Linked DNA regions of Stegostoma tigrinum. The protein of the gene in region 1 interacts with the protein of each later gene in a pairwise test. Links are inferred from orthologs where the notes say so. Each region holds a gene or a part of one and is shown in the gene's direction. Other genes may lie near its edges. The genes, in order: plaa and ubxn1.

Region 1 (9,366 bases):
GAGAGGGCAGAAAAGCGGGTGTGAAGAGTATGTCAAATTAAAGGTTGGGGAAAAAGGGCAGAAAATGAATGTGAGGAATGTTGGATAAAGAATTAAGGGATGTTATGACCTTGGTCAGAAAGTAAAAGAAAGCATACATAAGGTTTATGAGGATGCAAACTGATGAAGCCCCTTGAAGTTTATAAGTAGGGAAGAACTTAAACAAGGATTTAGAAGGGCTAAAAGCTGCCATGAAAAGTTGTGAGCGAACAGATTTAAGGAGAATCCCAAGGCTTTTTATACATATGGGAGCCAAAGCAAGGGTTGGCCCACTCAAGGACAAAGGAAGGAATCTACATGTGGAGAAGAGGTAGGTGATGTCCTAAATGAATACTTTGTGTCAGTATTCACCAAAGAGAAGGAACTGGTAGAGGATGCTGTCAGGGAAGGAAGTGGTGAGTTTCTAAACCAATTTGCTATCAAAACGGAAGAGGTGTCATTGTCTTATAAAGTATTAGGATAGATAAGTCCCCAAGTCCTAATGGGATCTGTCCCAGAATATTGAGGGGGAGGCAAGAGAATGAATTGCTGGAGCATTGACAGAGATGTTTGTATTCTCTTCGGCCACAGTTGAGGTCTTAGAGGACTGAAGAATAGCCAAAGTTGTCCCATTGCGTAAGAAGCGTAGCAAGGATAATCCTGGAAATTACAGACCTGGGAATCTCACATCACTGATAGGGAAATTATTGGAAAAAGCCTCAGGTTCAAGATTTATATGCATTTAGAAGCAAATGGACTTATTAGCGATAGACATCATTTGCGGGGCAAGTCATGCCTCACGAGCTTTATTGAGTTTTTTGAGGTGGCGATGAAGATGATTGATGAGGGAAAAGCAGTTAATGTTATCTACATGGACTTCAGTAAAGCCTTTGACAAGGTTCCTCCTCGCAGGCTGGTACAAAAGGTGAAGTCACATGGTGTAGGAGTGAGCTGGCAAGATGGATACAGAACGAGCTTCGTCATAGGAGACAAAGGGTAGCAGTGGAAGGATCCTTGTCAGAATGGAGGGTTGCGAGTGGTGGTGTTCAACAGGGATCAGTGCTGGGACCTCTGCTGTTCATGGTCTACATAAATTATTTGGAGGAAAATGGAGTTGGTCTAATTAATAAGTCTGCAGACAATACAAAGATTGGTGGAGTTAGGGATAGTGAGGAAGATTGTCATAGGATATAAATCAATTAGAGGCATAGACAGAAAAACAGACAAATGTGAGGTGATGCATTTTGGAAGGTCAAGTACAGGTGGAAATTATACACTGAATGGCAGAACCCTTAGGAGAATCGATATGCAGAGGGATCTGAGTGCACAGGTCCAACAGATCATTGAAGACGGGAGCACAGGCAGACAAGGTATTAAAAAGAAAGCTTATGGTATGCTTGCCTTCATTAGAAGGGGCACTGATTGTAATGATAGACAAGTTATGCTGCAGCTTAATAGAACTTTAAATAGGCTACACTTGAAACATTTTATACAGTTCTGGTCAGCACACTACCAGAAGGATGTGGATGCTTTGGAAGGGGTACAGAAAAGGATGTTCCCTGGTATGGGCAATTTTAGCTATGAAGCAAGGCTAGACAGACTGGGTTTGTTTTTGTTGGAACACAGGAGGTTGAGGGGCGACCCAATAACAAATTTATAAGATTGCGAATAGTATGGATAGGTGAAAAATATGACACCTTTTTTCCCCAGGGTGGAGGGGTCAATTACGAGGGAACATAGGTTCAAGATGCAAAGGGGTAAGTTTTTTTCACACAAAGGTGGTGAATGCCTGTAACATGTTGCCAGATGAGCTGGTCAAAGAAGACACAATAGCAGCATTTAAGAAGCATTTGGACGAGTACATGAATAGGAAGGAAATGGAGGGATATGGATCCTTTAAGTGAAGATAGTTTTAGAATGGAAGGGCAAATTGTGTCCCTGTAGGCTTGGAGGGCCGAAGGGCTTGTTCCTGCTCTGTATTGTTCTTTGATCTAAAAACCTAAAGAACTGCAGATGCTGTAAAGCAGGACCAAAAACAGAAGTTGCAAGAAAAGCTCAGCAGGTCTGGCAACATCTGTGAAGAAAACAAAATCAGTTAATGTTTCAGGTCTGGTGACCCCTCCTTAGAACTTGTTCTTTGTTCGTTCTAAGGCACGAAAGTGAACCTGAGTTTTGGATCTAGGGTTGGCGGGGGGGGGGGGGAGAAAAGGTATTAAAGTGGATGTGAAGAGCGTTGGATAAAGGGTTAAGAAGAAAAAGCCAGCAAAGTGGGCATGATAATAAAGTGTGAAGCTGGATGAACACAGCAGGCCAAGCAGCATCTCAGGAGCACAAAAGCTGACGTTTCGGGCCTAGACCCTTCATCAGAGAGGGGGATGGGGTGAGGGTTCTGGAATAAATAGAGAGAGAGGGGGAGACAGACCGAAGATGGAGAGAAAAGAAGATAGCTGGAGAGGAGAGTATGGGTGGGGAGGTAGGGAGGGGATAGGTCAGTCCAGGGAAGACGGACAGGTCAAGGAGGTGGGATGAGGTTAGTAGGTAGGAAATGGAGGTGCGGCTTGGGGTGGGAGGAAGGGATGGGTGAGAGGAAGAACAGGTTAGGGAGGCAGAGACAGGCTGGGCTGGTTTTGGGATGCAGTGGGTGGAGGGGAAGAGCTGGGCTGGTTGTGTGGTGCAGTGGGGGGAGGGGACGAACTGGGCTGGTTTTGGGATGCGGTAGGGGAAGGGGAGATTTTGAAGCTGGTGAAGTCCACATTGGTAACACTGGGCTGCAGGGTTCCCAGGCGGAATATGAGTTGCTGTTCCTGCGACCTTCGGGTGGCATCATTGTGGCACTGCAGGAGGCCCATGATGGACATGTCATTTGAGGAATGGGAGGGGGAGTGGAAATGGTTCGCGACTGGGACGTGCATGTAGCATGAGGAGTTTTCAACTTTGGAATGTGGGGATAAGGGCAGGAAAGTGGGCGTGAGGAGTTTTCGATTTAGGAATGTGGGAAAAGGCGGAGGAAAGTGGGTGTGAGGAATGTTGAATCAGCCACGATCCTACTGAATTGGGGGGGGGGGGGGGGTGGACAGGCTAGTGGGGCTGAATTCCTCGTGTTCCGATGTCTCCTGAGTTTTTACCTGGGCTCAGTCAGGATTGTGGGGACCGGGACGCTGGCTCCTAGTGGGTCGTGCGAGCCTCTAGATGTCGGTGCGGCCTCTTACCGCCCGCCCACAACACACCACAACCTTCCCCCTTTGTTTTTCCCCTCTCCTCACCAACAACTTTCCCGGTTTGTCACCGAAAACAAACGACGAAAATATCTTTTCCCAAAAACAAAAAAAACGGCGGAATGAAATGAGCACCTTTTTTGTGCACGCACTCCCCCACCCGCCGTCCTAAGTTTAACAGTCGGACATTGATTACGGTTACCATGGCGACGACCTCTGACCCGTCGATAATTGTTAACGTATTTGTTTTACAACTTAAGGTTAAAATGTGTATCTGTGTCCGCCTCCCTGTGTTTGTTTGGGGAGGTCTGAGGTGTTTTTTTGTTAAAAACATGTTATTCCTGACGGTTGGACAGGAAGGGGGAGGTGGTTCCCAGGAGGCCGCCCTGTTACCGGCGGACACTGCCAGGCCGACATGGCGTCGTCCGCCTACAGGCTCAGCTGCTCCCTCGCCGGGCATCAGATGGACGTCAGGGGGTTGGCTACCACCCTGTTCCCCGTCGGAGCCTTCGTGTCCGTGTCCAGGGACCGCACGGCCCGGGTCTGGGTGCCCAACAGGTAATCGAGAGTAAAGCCGTGAAGGTTACCCGGCGGCTGCTAGGCCCCGCCACAGGGAGCAGCACTCACTGATGAGTTGACAGTTTTCCGTTTGGAGCTGTGTGTGTGGTGCTTGGGGTGCAGGAATTCGGAGCGAGCTGGTATTGAGTGTAGGGGGCCTGTCGTTGGTAGAAAGCAAGCCTGATTTTTATGAAGCGTTCTTAGTTTAGCATTTAGGAGCCAACGTAAGGCCATAAGATCATAAGAAACAGGAACAGAGGTCCTCTGTCCAACCTCCTGCTCTGCCATTCAGTAAGATTGTGGCTGTTCCAGAATTCCTCGTTCGCTTTCCTGCCTTTTAACCCATAACCCTTGAGTTTGCTTACTAGTTAAGATCTATCTATCCCAGCGTTACATAGGCACAAGGATGCTTGCCCCCACAGATCTTTGTGGCAAAGACACTCCACCCTCTGAGAAGAAATTCTTCAATGGCCGGCTCTTGAATGAGGGGGCCATAGTTTTTGGATTAGAGGCAAGAGTTTTAAAAATATGGATGAGAAGAAAATACATCTCAAAGCCGTTGTGAATATATGGAATTCGCTACGCTCGAGTTTATAGATTTTTCTACACTAGTCCTGCACTCCTTGATTCTCCTCTGTATTCAAAAATGTTTTGATATTTGACTTGGACACAGTCATCATGTATCCAGTGTAAAATTCCAAAGATTCACTGTCCTTTGAAGGAATAGACTTCGTTCCACTTTTCAGTCCCAAATGTGTAATCTACTTTGAGTAACCTTAAAAAGAGGAGATTCTAATTTAAAATCAAATCTTAATGAGTTGAAGGATTGTGGAGAGCAGGCAGAAAAGTGGAGTAGGGGTTAAGATGATATCAGTTATGATTGCATCAAATGGAGGAACAGGCTCAAAGTGCTGAGTTTCCTATTTCTGCTCTGAGCTCTATGTATTCTGTGTTCTTGTCTACTGTGTACAGATTTATTTACTTTTTTTCTTTTTTGTAGCAAACTTTTAACATTGGAGCCTTTACCTTTACTTACTATATCTCAATGTTCTTCATGGATGTGTTCTTAAAATTGGACACTGAACCAAATAAGGGGATATTAGGGCAGGTGATCAAAGGTTTTATCAGGGCTGTAAGGGTTAAGTGTCTGGAAAAAGAGAACTTTAGATCATGGTCATGGCATTGTAAAGCATATCAGTTAGTGGAGTGAATTTGTTAACTGGAGTGCAGTAAATCAGAATTGCAGGAGATATAGTGAAGATAGAGAACTACACAGATTTGAAACACTTATGAATACAATATAAAATAGCAGGAGTCGGCAATGCGCCTTTTTGTGTCAGCTCCTTCATTCAATAAGATCATAATTGAGGGTGCCTAATGCTTGATTTGTCTTGACTTTCCCTTCCAGCAATACCTCGATGTTCCGTAATTCCTTTTGTATCCAAAAATCTATTTGATCTTTATTCTGAGTATATTCATCTAATTTGACCTACTTGTTGCAGTCCTAAATGATTAAACTTTTTTTTTGAGACCATGAACCCGACTTCTGGACTCTTCAATCAATGCAGATATCCTGCCAGCATTTATCTGGTTGGTCCCTTAAGAATTTTATTCCGTCTCCGTGAGATCAGCTCTCGTTCTTCTAAAGTTTATGGAATATTGATTTTAAGTAGACTCAATCTGTTCTCTTTGGATGATCTTATCATCCCTGAAACCAGTTTAGGAAACAAGACCAAAACTGTGCTCAGGTGCTTATGAAGGTGCGATACAATTGCAGTGAAACTTCATAGTTTTTTATTCCGATCACTGTTATAAAAGGTGCTACATCATTTGCTATGGTAGCGCTTACTATACTGTGTGCGGATTTTAACAGTATGCTTTGTGGACAAGGACATTCGAATTAATCTGAAAACCAACATCATCTAGTCTGTCCTCCCCAGACTGACCTATCCCCTCCCTACCTCCCCGCCTATACTCATCTCTACAGGTTCCATCTCCGATCCTTTAACTTGTCTGTTTCCTCTCTACCTATCTTCCCCTCTATCTATCTTGATCTACGTTTCTCCCCCCCCCCCCCCCATTTATTTCAGAACCCTCTCCCCATTCCCCTTTTCTGATGAAGGGTCTAGGCCTGAAACGTCAGCTTTTGTGCTCCTAAGATGCTGCTTAGCCTGCTGCGTTCATCCAGTTCCACACTTTGTTATCTTGGATTCTCCAGCAACTGCAGTTCCCATTATCTCTCACCTAGTTTCTAACTCTCTCACTTCTCATGCTATTACACTTTGCTATGTTCGTACCGGTTCACTTACCCTGTCTATTATCCTTTGCAGCACACATTCTACCTAATATCGCTAGAAAACTTGGATAATTACTAGTTATTGACTTAGATTGCAAATACAGCCAAGAATTTTAAAATTGAGGTGATTCTGAGCTGGGAGCCATTGTAAATCAGTGAGCATAGGTAAATGAGATTTTGTGCACTTTAGGATATGGGCAGTAGAAATTTGCACGATCTCAAATTTACAAGAGAGGAGAAAGCTGGAGACCAGCCAGAGACGTATTTGAATAGTCAACTGTAAAGGTAACACATGCTTGGATGAGATCTTCTGTAGCTGATGAAAAGGCATGGTTGGGAGTAGGGGAAGCATCGTGCAGTGCTTTGCAGGTTGGAATAGTCATCTGTGTAATGGTAAGCATATGTTCAGAAGCTCACCTTGGCTTCAGATATGGTGCCAAGATGCCAAACTTTGAGTCTCAAATATTTACAAAGGAGAGGGATGGGGTCAATGGAGGGAAAATAAGTTTTTAGCTTGTTTTCAAAGCAATGGCTCCAATTTTCTCGGTATTTACATTGAGGTAATTCTTGCTCACCTTATATCAGATATCAAGCACACAAATTTAGATACTTTTGAGGCGTCATAAAGAGTTGCAACACGGCAGGGCTCACTGTAAATACAAAAGTGAAAACTGACAGTCATCTTCAGATAATTCTGCTGTGGATCAACATTTAGGTAAATAATCAACTATCTTTTTGAGGTCTTCAGTTTAGTTTTAGTTTTGATCTTAAATCTGAAGCTTGAACAAAAACATAATGGAAAGTGTCCTTGGGCAATTAATATATTTGAACAAGCTCGCTTCTTTTGCATTCAAAATGATTCATTGGGTAAACTGATAATTTATACTATTGGTTCAGGACTGAGCTCCATAGCTCAGACGAAGTCCAGTTTGATCCCAAGTTTGTGATTTAAGTTGATATTTGCTGAGCCAGATTGGATTGAGTATCTTCTTGTGGAAAACATTTATTTGAACTCCTATAGTTAATGGTTATTCTGTGATCCATTCCTTAAGAATGTAGATGAAGAAAAGCACATTGACAGGTCTGTTTTCCAAGCAATTCAAGTTTGGTGATTTTCTTTTAAGAAAAGGTCAAAAGATTAATTTTTAGCTTATGAAAATGCAAGGCTGAAGAAGAAGAAATTCACCAAGGCTCTTCTGACAGCACATTCCAAACCATTGATAGCTGCAATCTAGAGTGTCAAGCGCAGATATGTGGGAACATCATAGCCTGTATGTTCCCCCTCAAGCTGCTCACCTGTGTGATTTGGACATTTTTTACCATTCATTCACTGTCATTGGCTCAAAATTCTGAATCCTGACCTGTAACAACACTATAATTGTGTACCTCACAGCAAATGCATTGCTGTGATGCAAGAAATCCTCTCACAACCAGCTTCTGAGCGCAATTAGGGATGGGAAATAAAGTGCTCAGCCAGCTCTCATCCTCCATGAATGAAAAATCATGATACTCTAATCTTGACGTTTTGCATATTTTAACACTAGTTTTGTGAAGTTTGTGAAACCTTTAACATTGTTGAGATTGCAGTAAATATATTTTATTTAACTTATCTGTCTCATTATTGTTGCTTTTGAATCCTGCATACATGTCCTGAATACAGACATTGAGAAACGAAATACTGTTAAAATGAGGAAGAGGAAGGATTGATGTTTTCATGCAATCACTTTCATCACTGATTTGCTGCACTTAACATTCAATCTGATAGACGGTTGAAACGTTGACATTGCACATTGGTATGTCAGGATAAATGCATTTGAATGCATTATGCCTCGATGTACCTCTTTGATCCATCCATCCCGTTGACTCACTCGATGACATTAAATCACTTTGCCCGTCGCAATTTGAAAGGACTGTGGCTGTCTGTCCTGTCAGGATGTGTTCCTGACTACCTCCATTCCTTGTTTGCCTCTTCTATACTACATGAGCTGTCTCTGAAAATGTTGTCTGTGTTTATTGAACAGTATAGATGTTTTTTTTTGTTTGCCGATCCCTTCAACTTGCTTTCCTCTTCTGCTTTGACAGTTTAAGTGGAAATCTATGTTATTGGCTCAGTACAAATACCTGGTAGCCTTCTATCTAAATGTTTTTGTCTGCTCCATTAAGAATTTTAAGTGGAGGATGCTGAGACTGCAAATAACATTTGCATTTTATTCGAATTCTGCCTTATGTCACATTTAGAGTGAGGCCTGTTTTTACAGCTTACTGAAGTTGTAATTGTATGACTGGAGTAGAATGGATTTTAAAATTTAGTTACACATTAGTTTCAACAACCCTTCCTCCAGATGTGTCTGTACTTCGGCTACAGTAAACCTGCCTCCAGAAATTCTGAAGGATCATTGGATCCAAAATGTTAACTGCTTTTTCTCTATAGATGCTACCAGACCTGCTGAGCTTTCCCAGCAATTTCTGGATTTGTTTCCAAAAGCTCAAAATTGTTGGAGTTGCAAAAGGGTTTGGTATGTGCAAAGCAAACAAAATTCTAGAGAGCTGTGTGTTTCTTGCATGTTTATTGACTGTAGAAGAAAATTTGTATTATCTTACCTGACCTTGAGAGCTCTTGATTTTTAAATATTGAGAAGACTGAAGCTGTTTTCAATTCCTACTCCAAATCCTAATCCTGACCACCAACCACTTCTCCCTACCTGTCAGCAGTCTGAGATTGATCGATTTTGTAGAATCATAGAATCCCTAAAGTGTGGAATTAGTCCACTTAGCCACACTGACCATCCAAAGAGCATCCCACTGTTCACAAGACCCTTTCCCTGTAACACTGCATTTCCCTTGCTAATCCACCTATCCTACATGTCTCTGAACTCCATGGGCAACTTAGCATGGCCTATCTGCCCAAAACTGTACATCTTTAGACTGTGGGAGGAAACTCACACAGACAGAGGGAGAATATGCAAACTCTACACTCAGTCACCTGAGGCTGGAATCAAACCTGGGTCCCTGGTGCTGTGAGACAGCTGTGCTAATTACTGAGCTACTGTACTGCTCTTTCTTTGCAACCCTGTCACATTTCATTCTGAGATGAGCTTTTTAACTTGTGTGCCATTACCAAGACTGACTATTTCCACCAGCATAGCATCACCTTACTTCTCTGGCGATCCACAGCTCATCTGCTGCTGAAACCTTCATGTTTTCATTTTCTCTAGACTTGACTATTCCCATACAATCTTAGCTAATCTTCCACACAATACCATTTGCAAACTTGAGGTC
Region 2 (9,366 bases), on another chromosome or scaffold:
TCTTATCGGCTTTGGGTCAGTGTTATCTCTGACCTGTGACTGCCTGTGGTAGATTGATGCTAAATGTTGTCCCGTACACTTACAGTTCCAACTCACATAAATACAGAGCAAGGCATGGTTTCTTCATGGTCTCTCGCACATTACTTCAAATGTTACGGTTATACCATGGTACTTATGACGCTATTCTGATGTTTATTGTCACTCCCTTCGCATTTCCGTCATGTTTTCCACAAACAGAACTTAGCGTGATTGCAGGAGACACAGTGTGGAGAGAGAGAGAGAGGGACAGTTGGTTGCCTGCGAAAGCTCCACTTGTATCATGCCTGCTCTCTCCAGTTCATCTGCGCACACTGCTTTAACTCCTAGCTGTTTAAACTGTGCTTACCATGCATGTCAGGTCGTTTTTTTTGAACCATAGCCCATGGCTTGAAATCTGGCACCGATCTCTCCTCTGGAGACTGCCGCATCTCTAACTCCCAATGCAGACCTTGACATCTCCCGCCCAGGTTTGCCCGCTCATTGTTTCTCATCGTTTGGGGTCTTCTGCTGACTTCACCGACCTATCTGCGCCGTTGCACTGAGAGAGAGACAGACAGCATTGAGCCTCAGGAATATGTAAAAAATCATATTACCTGGAGGTTTGAAGATCTGTGAGGGTAAGGCCAGGCTAACAGTGATGGCATTGCTGTTACTCAAAGGGCTAGAAGTGAGGGGCGAAAGGGCTGAATGACCAAAGGTTGCCCAAGGTTTGGTTGCCACCTGAGGACAGGCCATACCCCACCCACTGATTGACAGGAGACTCCATTTCCCACCCAGATACTGTACTCCAGCACTGATCCACCGGACCCCAACCCCTCATCATAAGCCCCTCCTACTCCATCTGAGACCCTCCCCCTCACTCTGAGACTCTCCCCTTCACTCTGAGATCCTCTCTCTGAGACCCTCCCCCTCACTCTGAGACTCTCCCCTTCACTCTGAGATCCTCTCTCTGAGACCCTCCCCCTCACTCTGAGACTCTCCCCTTCACTCTGAGATCCTCTCTCTGAGACCCTCCCCCTCACTCTGAGACTCTCCCCTTCACTCTGAGATCCTCTCTCTGAGACCCTCCCCCTCACTCTGAGACACCCTCTCTCTGAGACTCTCCCCCTCACTCTGAGACACCCTCTCTCTGAGACTCTCCCCCTCACTCTGAGACACCCTCTCTCTGAGACTCTCCCCCTCACTGTGAGACCCTTCTCTATCTCTCTTAGACCCTCCCTCTCTGAGAGTCTCATTCTCCCTCTTTGACCCTTCTCTCTCACTCCGAGCCTCTCCCCTTCATTCTGAGACCCTCCCACTCACTCTGAGACACCGTGTCTCTCTGAGACTCTCGCACTCACTGAGACCCTTCCCCTCACTCTGAGACTCTCCCCTTCACTCTGAGATGCTCTCTGAGACCCTCCCCCTCACTCTGAGACACCCTCTCTCTGAGACTCTCGCACTCAGAGACCCTTCCCCTCTCTCTGAGACCCTCCCCCTCACTGTGAGGCCCTTCTTTATCTCTCTTAGACCCTCCCTCTCTGAGACTCTTATCCTCACTCTGTGACCCTTCTCTCTCACTCCGAGAACCCCTCTCTCACTTTGAGCCTCTCCCCCTCATTCTGAGACCCTCTGTCTCCAAGACCCTATATCACTCTAAACACGGATAATGGGAACTGCAGATGCTGGTGAATCCAAGACGAGATTTCATATTTTTGAGCAAACTTTATATGCAAAGCATTAAAAAGTAAATTGTTGTAACGTAACACTGTGTAGTTTAAAAATTTGAGTACATATGAACATAGAAAGTAAGAGCAGGAAAAGGCAGCTTGCCCCCTTGAGCTTGCCCTGTCATTCGGTAAGCATGTTTTTGATTCCTCCACAAGTGGCTATTAGATAGACATATGGATGATAGTATAACATAGGGGTGGAGGTTCAATAGACCTTAGGATTAGAGTAAAAGTTCGGCACAACATCGTGGGCTGAAGTGCTGTATTGTTCTATGTTCTATATAACAAAGTGTGAGGCTGGATGAACACAGCAGGCCAAGCAGCATCTCAGAAGCACAAAAGCTGACGTTTCGGGCCTAGACCCTTCATCAGAGAGGGGGATGGGGAGAGGGAACTGGAATAAATAGGGAGAGAGGGGGAGGCGGACCGAAGATGGAGAGAAAAGAAGATAGGTGGAGAGAGTGTAGGTGGGGAGGTAGGGAGGGGATAGGTCAGTCCAGGGAAGACGGACAGGTCAAGGAGGTGATGAAGGGTCTAGGCCCGAAACGTCAGCTTTTGTGCTCCTGAGATGCTGCTTGGCCTGCTGTGTTCATCCAGCCTCACACTTTGTTATCACTCTAAACACCATCTCTTTCTCTCTCAGTCCCTCACACTAAACACCACACAATCCACACCCATTCCACAAACCCCCATTCTAAATTCCACCCCCTCTCTAAACCCCTTCATTCCCTCTAAACCCCCTCACTCCGCCCTGATTAAGCCCCAATCACACTAAGCCTTTCCTCACCTTCATGCCCCTCTCCCCTAATTCCCAAACCCCTCACTAAAACCCCCACCCTCAACCCTGCCCATCCCCAAGCCTCTCCACACTGTAAGACCCACCCCACACTGTAAGCCACACCCACTTTTCATGCCCCTCCCCACACTGTGAGCCGCACTGCACATAGTAAGCTCCTCCCCACATGGCAAGCCCCTCCCCACACGGTGAGCCGCGTGCGGATAGTAATCCCCGCCCCACGCTGTAAGCCACACCCCTACGGCAGGACCCTCGCCTCCCTGTACTCCCTACCACACGCGAAGGGCCGGAGTGCCCATAGTAAGCCCCGCCCCACACTGTAAGCCACACCCCCACATGGTAAGCCCCGCCGCACACTGTAAGCCCCTCCCCACACTGCGTCGGCCTGCCCATAGTAAACTCCGCCCCACAATGTAAGCCACACCCCCACATGGTAAGCTCCACCCCACACAGTAAGCCCCGCCCCGCACGGTGTGCCGCACTGCACATAGTAAGCCCCACCCCCTACACACGGTAAGAGCCAACCAACCGTAAACCCCAACCCGCCATAAGCTCCGCCCCTTCCCACCCTAAGCCCCTCCCCCTCACGGTGAGCCTGTCTCTCCGGTTACCGGGTGGTGAAGCTGAGCAGACCTCCCCGACACACACCCTCACACACATTCCCCACCCCCACAGCCTGTGGGTGATGACTGGAGCCCGCCTCTTGCTGCTGAGCCCGGGATCCGTGTGAAAACCTCCCGCTCGCCCGCCGCCGGGCCGTAGGAAACACCGAGGCTTCGGAGCTGCAGGTAGGCCCGAGGCGGAGGGGTCTGGGGAATGTGCTGCAGGAATTACCCATTCACTCCCGATTAAACCACAGGATGGGTCACCATCCCTCACACAGAGAGAAAATAAACCCCCCACCCCCACGGACAAAACCAGACCCTGACACAGGGCTGTGGGTTACAACACCTTCACAGCCCCCACCCCACACACCCCCCACCCCACACACACCCCCCCACCGCACACACACCCCCCCCACCCCACCCCACCCCACACACACCCCCACCACACACAACCCCCCACCCCACACAACCGCCCACCCCACACACACCCCCACAACCCCCCACCCACACACACCCCCACCACCCCCCACCCACACACACCCCCACCCCACACACCCCCCACCACACACACACCCCCCACCCCACACAACCCCCCACCACACACACCCCCACCCCACACTCACCCCCCCACCACCCCACCCCACCCCACCCCACACACCTCCCACCCCACACACCTCCCACCCCACACACACACCCCCACCCCACCCCACCCCACCCCACCCACCCACACACCCCACCCCACCCCACCCACCCACACACCCCACCCCACCCACACACCCCACACACACCCCCCACCCCACACTCACCCCCCACCCCACCCCACACTCACCCCCCCACCCCACCCCACCCCACCCCACCCCACACCACCCCACCCCACACCACACACCCCCCACCCCACCCCACACACACCCCACCCCACCCCACACACACCCCACCCCACCCCACACACACCCCACCCCACCCCACACACACCCCACACCCCACCACCCCACCCCACACACACCCCCCACCCCACCACCCCACCCCACCCCACCACCCCACCCCACACACACCCCCCACCCCACCCCACCACCCCACCCCACCACCCCACCCCACCACCCCACCACCCCACCCCAACACCCCCCCACCCCACCACACCACCCCCCCACCCCACACACACCCCCCAACCCACCCCCCCACCCCACACTCACCCCCCCACCCCACACTCACCCCCCCACCCCACACTCGCCCCCCCACCCCACACTCGCCCCCCCACCCCACCCCACACTCGCCCCCCCCCACCCCACCCCACACTCGCCACCCCACACTCACCCCCCGCCCCACACCCCCGCCCCATACACCCCCGCCCCATACACCCCCGCCCCATACACACCCCCGCCCCATACACACCCCCGCCCCATACACCCCCCCACCCCAAACACCCCCCCACCCCAAACACCCGCTCACCATCACCCCCACCCCATACAGCCCCTCACCTTGACCCCCACCCCATACAGCCCCCCACCCCATACACCCCCTCACCCCATACACCCCCTCATCATCACCCGCGCCCCATACACCCCCCCACCCCATACAGCCCCACACCCCATACACCCCCTCATCATCACCCCCCGCCCCATACACCCCCTCATCATCACCCCCCGCCCCGTGCACCCCCCCGCCCCGTGCACCCCCCCCGCCCCGTGCACACACCCCCCCGCCCCGTGCGCACCCCCCCCGCCCCGTGCGCACCCCCCCCGCCCCGTGCGCACCCCCCCCGCCCCGTGCGCACCCCCCCCGCCCCGTGCGCACCCCCCCCCGCCCCCGTGCGCACCCCCCCCCGCCCCGTGCGCACCCACACCCGCCCCGTGCGCACCCACCCCGCCCCGTGCGCACCCCCCCGCCCCGTGCGCACCCCCCCCCGCCCCGTGCGCACCCCCCCCCGCCCCGTGCGCACCCCCCCCCCGCCCCGTACGCACACCCCCCGCCCCGTACGCACACCCCCCCGCCCCGCCCCGTACACCCCCCGCCCCGCCCCGTACACCCCCCCCGCCCCGCCCCGTACACCCCCCCCCCGCCCCGTACACCCCCCCCCGCCCCGTACACCCCCCCCGCCCCGCCCCGTACACCCCCCCCGCCCCGCCCCGTACACCCCCCCCGCCCCGTACACCCCCCCCGCCCCGTACACCCCCCCCGCCCCGTACACCCAACCCCCGCCCCGTACACCCAACCCCCGCCCCGTACACCCAACCCCGCCCCGTACACCCAACCCCGCCCCGTACACCCAACCCCGCCCCGTACACCCAACCCCTAACACTCCCACGCCCTACACCCCCTCACCATCACCCCTACCCCAAACATCCCACCCCATACACCCCACCCCATACACCCCACCCCATACACCCCACCCCATACACCCCACCCCATACACCCCCCCTTACACCCCCCCGCCCCTTACACCACCCCGCCCCTTACACCCCCCCGCCCGTTACACCCCCCCGCCCGTTACACCCCCCCGCCCGTTACACCCCCACGGCCCGTTACACCCCCCCGCCACATACACCCCCCCGCCACATACACCCCCCCGCCCCATACACCCCCCGCCCCATACAGCCCCTCACCATCACCCCCACCCCATACACTCCCTCACCCCATACACTCCCTCACCCCATACACTCCTTCACCATCACCCCCACCCCATACACCCCCCCACCTCATACACCCCCCCAACTCATACACCCCCCCACCATCACCCCCACCCCATACACCCCCCCACCCCATACACCCCCCCACCCCATACACCCCATACACCCCATACACCCCCCCCACCCCATACACCCCCCCCACCCCATACACCCCCCCCACCCCATACACCCTCCACCATCACCCCCACCCCATACAACCCCACCTATACACCCACCACCCCATACACCCCCTCACCTTGACCCCACCCCATACAGCCCCTCACCGTGACCCCACCCCATACAGCCCCCCACCCCATACAGCCCCCCACCCCATACACCAACTCATCATCACCCCCGCCCCGTACACGCCCCCCCGCCCCGTACACCCCCCCCCGCCCCGTACACCCCCCCCGCCCCGCACACCCCCCCGCACACCCCCCCCGCCCCGTACACTCCCCCCCGCCCCATACACCCCCCCCGCCCCGTACACCCCCCCCGCCCCGTACACCCCCCCCGCCCCGTACACCCCCCCCCCGCCCCGTACACCCCCCCCCGCCCCGTACACCCCCCTCCGCCCCGTACACCCCCCTCCGCCCCGTACACCCCCCCCCGCCCCGTACGCCCCCCCCGCCCCGTACACCCCCCCCCCCGCCCCGTACGCCCCCCCCGCCCCGTACGCCCCCCCCGCCCCGTACGCCCCCCCCCGCCCCGTACACCCCCCCCCCCGCCCCGTACACCCCCCCCCCCGCCCCGTACACCCCCCCCGCACACTCCCCCCGCCCCGCACACTCCCCCCGCCCCGTACACTCCCCCCGCCCCGTACACTCCCCCCCGCCCCGTACACTCCCCCCCCGCCCCGTATACCCCCCCCCGCCCCGTATACCCCCCCCGCCCCGTATACCCCCCCCGCGCACCCCCCCGCCCCATACACCCCCCCCCGTACACCCCCCCCCGCCCCGTACACCGCCCCGCCCCGCCCCGCCCCGTACACACCCCCCCCGCCCCGTACACACCCCCCCCGCCCCGTACACCCCCCCCGCCCCGTACACCCCCCCCCGCCCCGTACACCCCCCTCCGCCCCGTACACCCCCCCCCGCCCCGTACACCCCCCCCGCCCCGTACACCCCCCCCCGCCCCGTACACCCCCCCCCGCCCCGTACACCCCCCCCCCGCCCCGTACACCCCCCCCCCGCCCCGTACACCCCCCCCCGCCCCGTACACCCCCCCCGCCCCGTACACCCCCCCCGCCCCGTACACCCCCACCCCGCCCCGTACACCCCCACCCCGCCCCGTACACCCCCACCCCGCCCCGTACACCCCCACCCCATCACCCCCACCCCATCACCCCCACCCCATCACCCTCCCCCACCCCCACCCCCACCCCATACACCCCCACCCCCACCCCATACACCCCCACCCCCACCCCATACACCCCCACCCCATACATCCCCACCCCCACCCCCACCCCATACACCCCCACCCCATACATCCCCACCCCCACCCCCACCCCATACACCCCCACCCCCACCCCCACCCCCACCCCCACCCCCACCCCCACCCCAAACACCCCCCCACCCCAAACACCCCCCCACCCCAAACACCCCCCCACCCCAAACAACCCCCCACCCCAAACAACCCCCACCCCAAACAACCCCCACCCCAAACAACCCCCACCCCAAACACCCGCTCACCATCACCCCCACCCCAAACACCCGCTCACCATCACCCCCACCCCATACAACCCCACCCATACACCCACCACCCCATACACCCCCTCACCTTGACCCCCGCCCCATACTCCCCCCGCCCCATACTCCCCCCGCCCCATAATCCCCCCGCCCCATAATCCCCCCGCCCCATACACACCCTCACTATACACCCCCACCCCGTACACCCCCTCACCATCACCCCCACCCCATACACGCCCTCACCATCACCCCCACCCCATACACGCCCTCACCATCACCCCCCACCCCATACACCCCCCGCCCCATACACCCTCCACCCCATACTCCCTCCACCCCATACACCCTCCACCCCATATACCCCCTCACCATCACTCCCACCCCATACACCCCCCCCACCCCATACACCCCCCCCACCCCATACACCCCCCCCACCCCATACACCCCCCCTACCCCATACACCCCCTACCCCATACAGCCCCTCACCATCACTCCCACCCCATACAACCCCACCTATACACCCACCACCCCATACACCCCCTCACCTTGACCCCCACCCCCACCCCATATACCCCCTCACCATCACTCCCACCCCGTACACCCCCCCACCCCGTACACCCCCTCCACATCCCCCCCCGTACACCCCCTCACAATTACCCCACCACCCCATACACTCCCTCACCATCACCCCCCACCCCATGCACCCCCCCACCCCATGCACCCCCCCACCCCATGCACACCCCCTCACCATCCCCCCCCCCAGATACCCCCCACCCCATATACCCCCCACCCCATATACCCTAACCCCACCCACCCCCCACCCACCCCCCACCCACCCACACACCTCCCCACCCACACACACACCTCCCCACCCACACACACACCTCCCCACCCACACACACACACCCCCCCCACCCCACACACCCCCTGCCCCACACACCCCCCCGCCCCACACACCCCCTCGCCCCACACACCCCCTCGCCCCACACACTCCCTCACCATCATCCCCACCCATACACCCCCTCACCATCACCCCCACCCCATACACGCCCTCACCATCACCCCCACCCCATACACGCCCTCACCATCACCCCCCACCCCATACACCCCCCGCCCCATACACCCTCCACCCCATACTCCCTCCACCCCATACACCCTCCACCCCATATACCCCCTCACCATCACTCCCACCCCATACACCCCCCCCACCCCATACACCCCCCCCACCCCATACACCCCCCCCACCCCATACACCCCCCCCACCCCATACACCCCCCCTACCCCATACACCCCCTACCCCATACAGCCCCTCACCATCACTCCCACCCCATACAACCCCACCTATACACCCACCACCCCATACACCCCCTCACCTTGACCCCCACCCCCACCCCATATACCCCCTCACCATCACTCCCACCCCGTACACCCCCCCCACCCCGTACACCCCCTCCACATCCCCCCCCGTACACCCCCTCACAATTACCCCACCACCCCATACACTCCCTCACCATCACCCCCCACCCCATGCACCCCCCCACCCCATGCACACCCCCTCACCATCCCCCCCCCAGATACCCCCCACCCCATATACCCCCCACCCCATATACCCTAACCCCACCCACCCCCCACCCACCCACACACCTCCCCACCCACACACACACCTCCCCACCCACACACACACCTCCCCACCCACACACACACACCCCCCCACCCCACACACCCCCTGCCCCACACACCCCCCCGCCCCACACACCCCCTCGCCCCACACACCCCCTCGCCCCACACACTCCCTCACCATCATCCCCACCCATACACCCCCTCACTATCACCCCAGCCCCATCCACCCCCCACCCCATACACCCCCCA

Evidence for each region.
Region 2: the proteins of plaa (region 1) and ubxn1 interact in binary tests that used the Homo sapiens proteins (3 or more experiments, as listed by UniProt). The two-hybrid records come from large-scale screens. The link is inferred for Stegostoma tigrinum from reciprocal best matches to the Homo sapiens genes PLAA and UBXN1.

What each region holds. Positions count from the first base shown.
Region 1 is NC_081356.1:6,065,944-6,075,309, forward strand, and holds the start of plaa (phospholipase A-2-activating protein), read left to right. Parts: upstream 1-3,613; 5' UTR 3,614-3,648; coding exon 3,649-3,791; intron 3,792-9,366. UniProt on the Homo sapiens protein: Plays a role in protein ubiquitination, sorting and degradation through its association with VCP. Involved in ubiquitin-mediated membrane proteins trafficking to late endosomes in an ESCRT-dependent manner, and hence plays a role in synaptic vesicle recycling.
Region 2 is NC_081395.1:4,323,708-4,333,073, reverse strand, and holds the start of ubxn1 (UBX domain-containing protein 1), read left to right. Parts: upstream 1-3,099; 5' UTR 3,100-3,332; intron 3,333-9,366.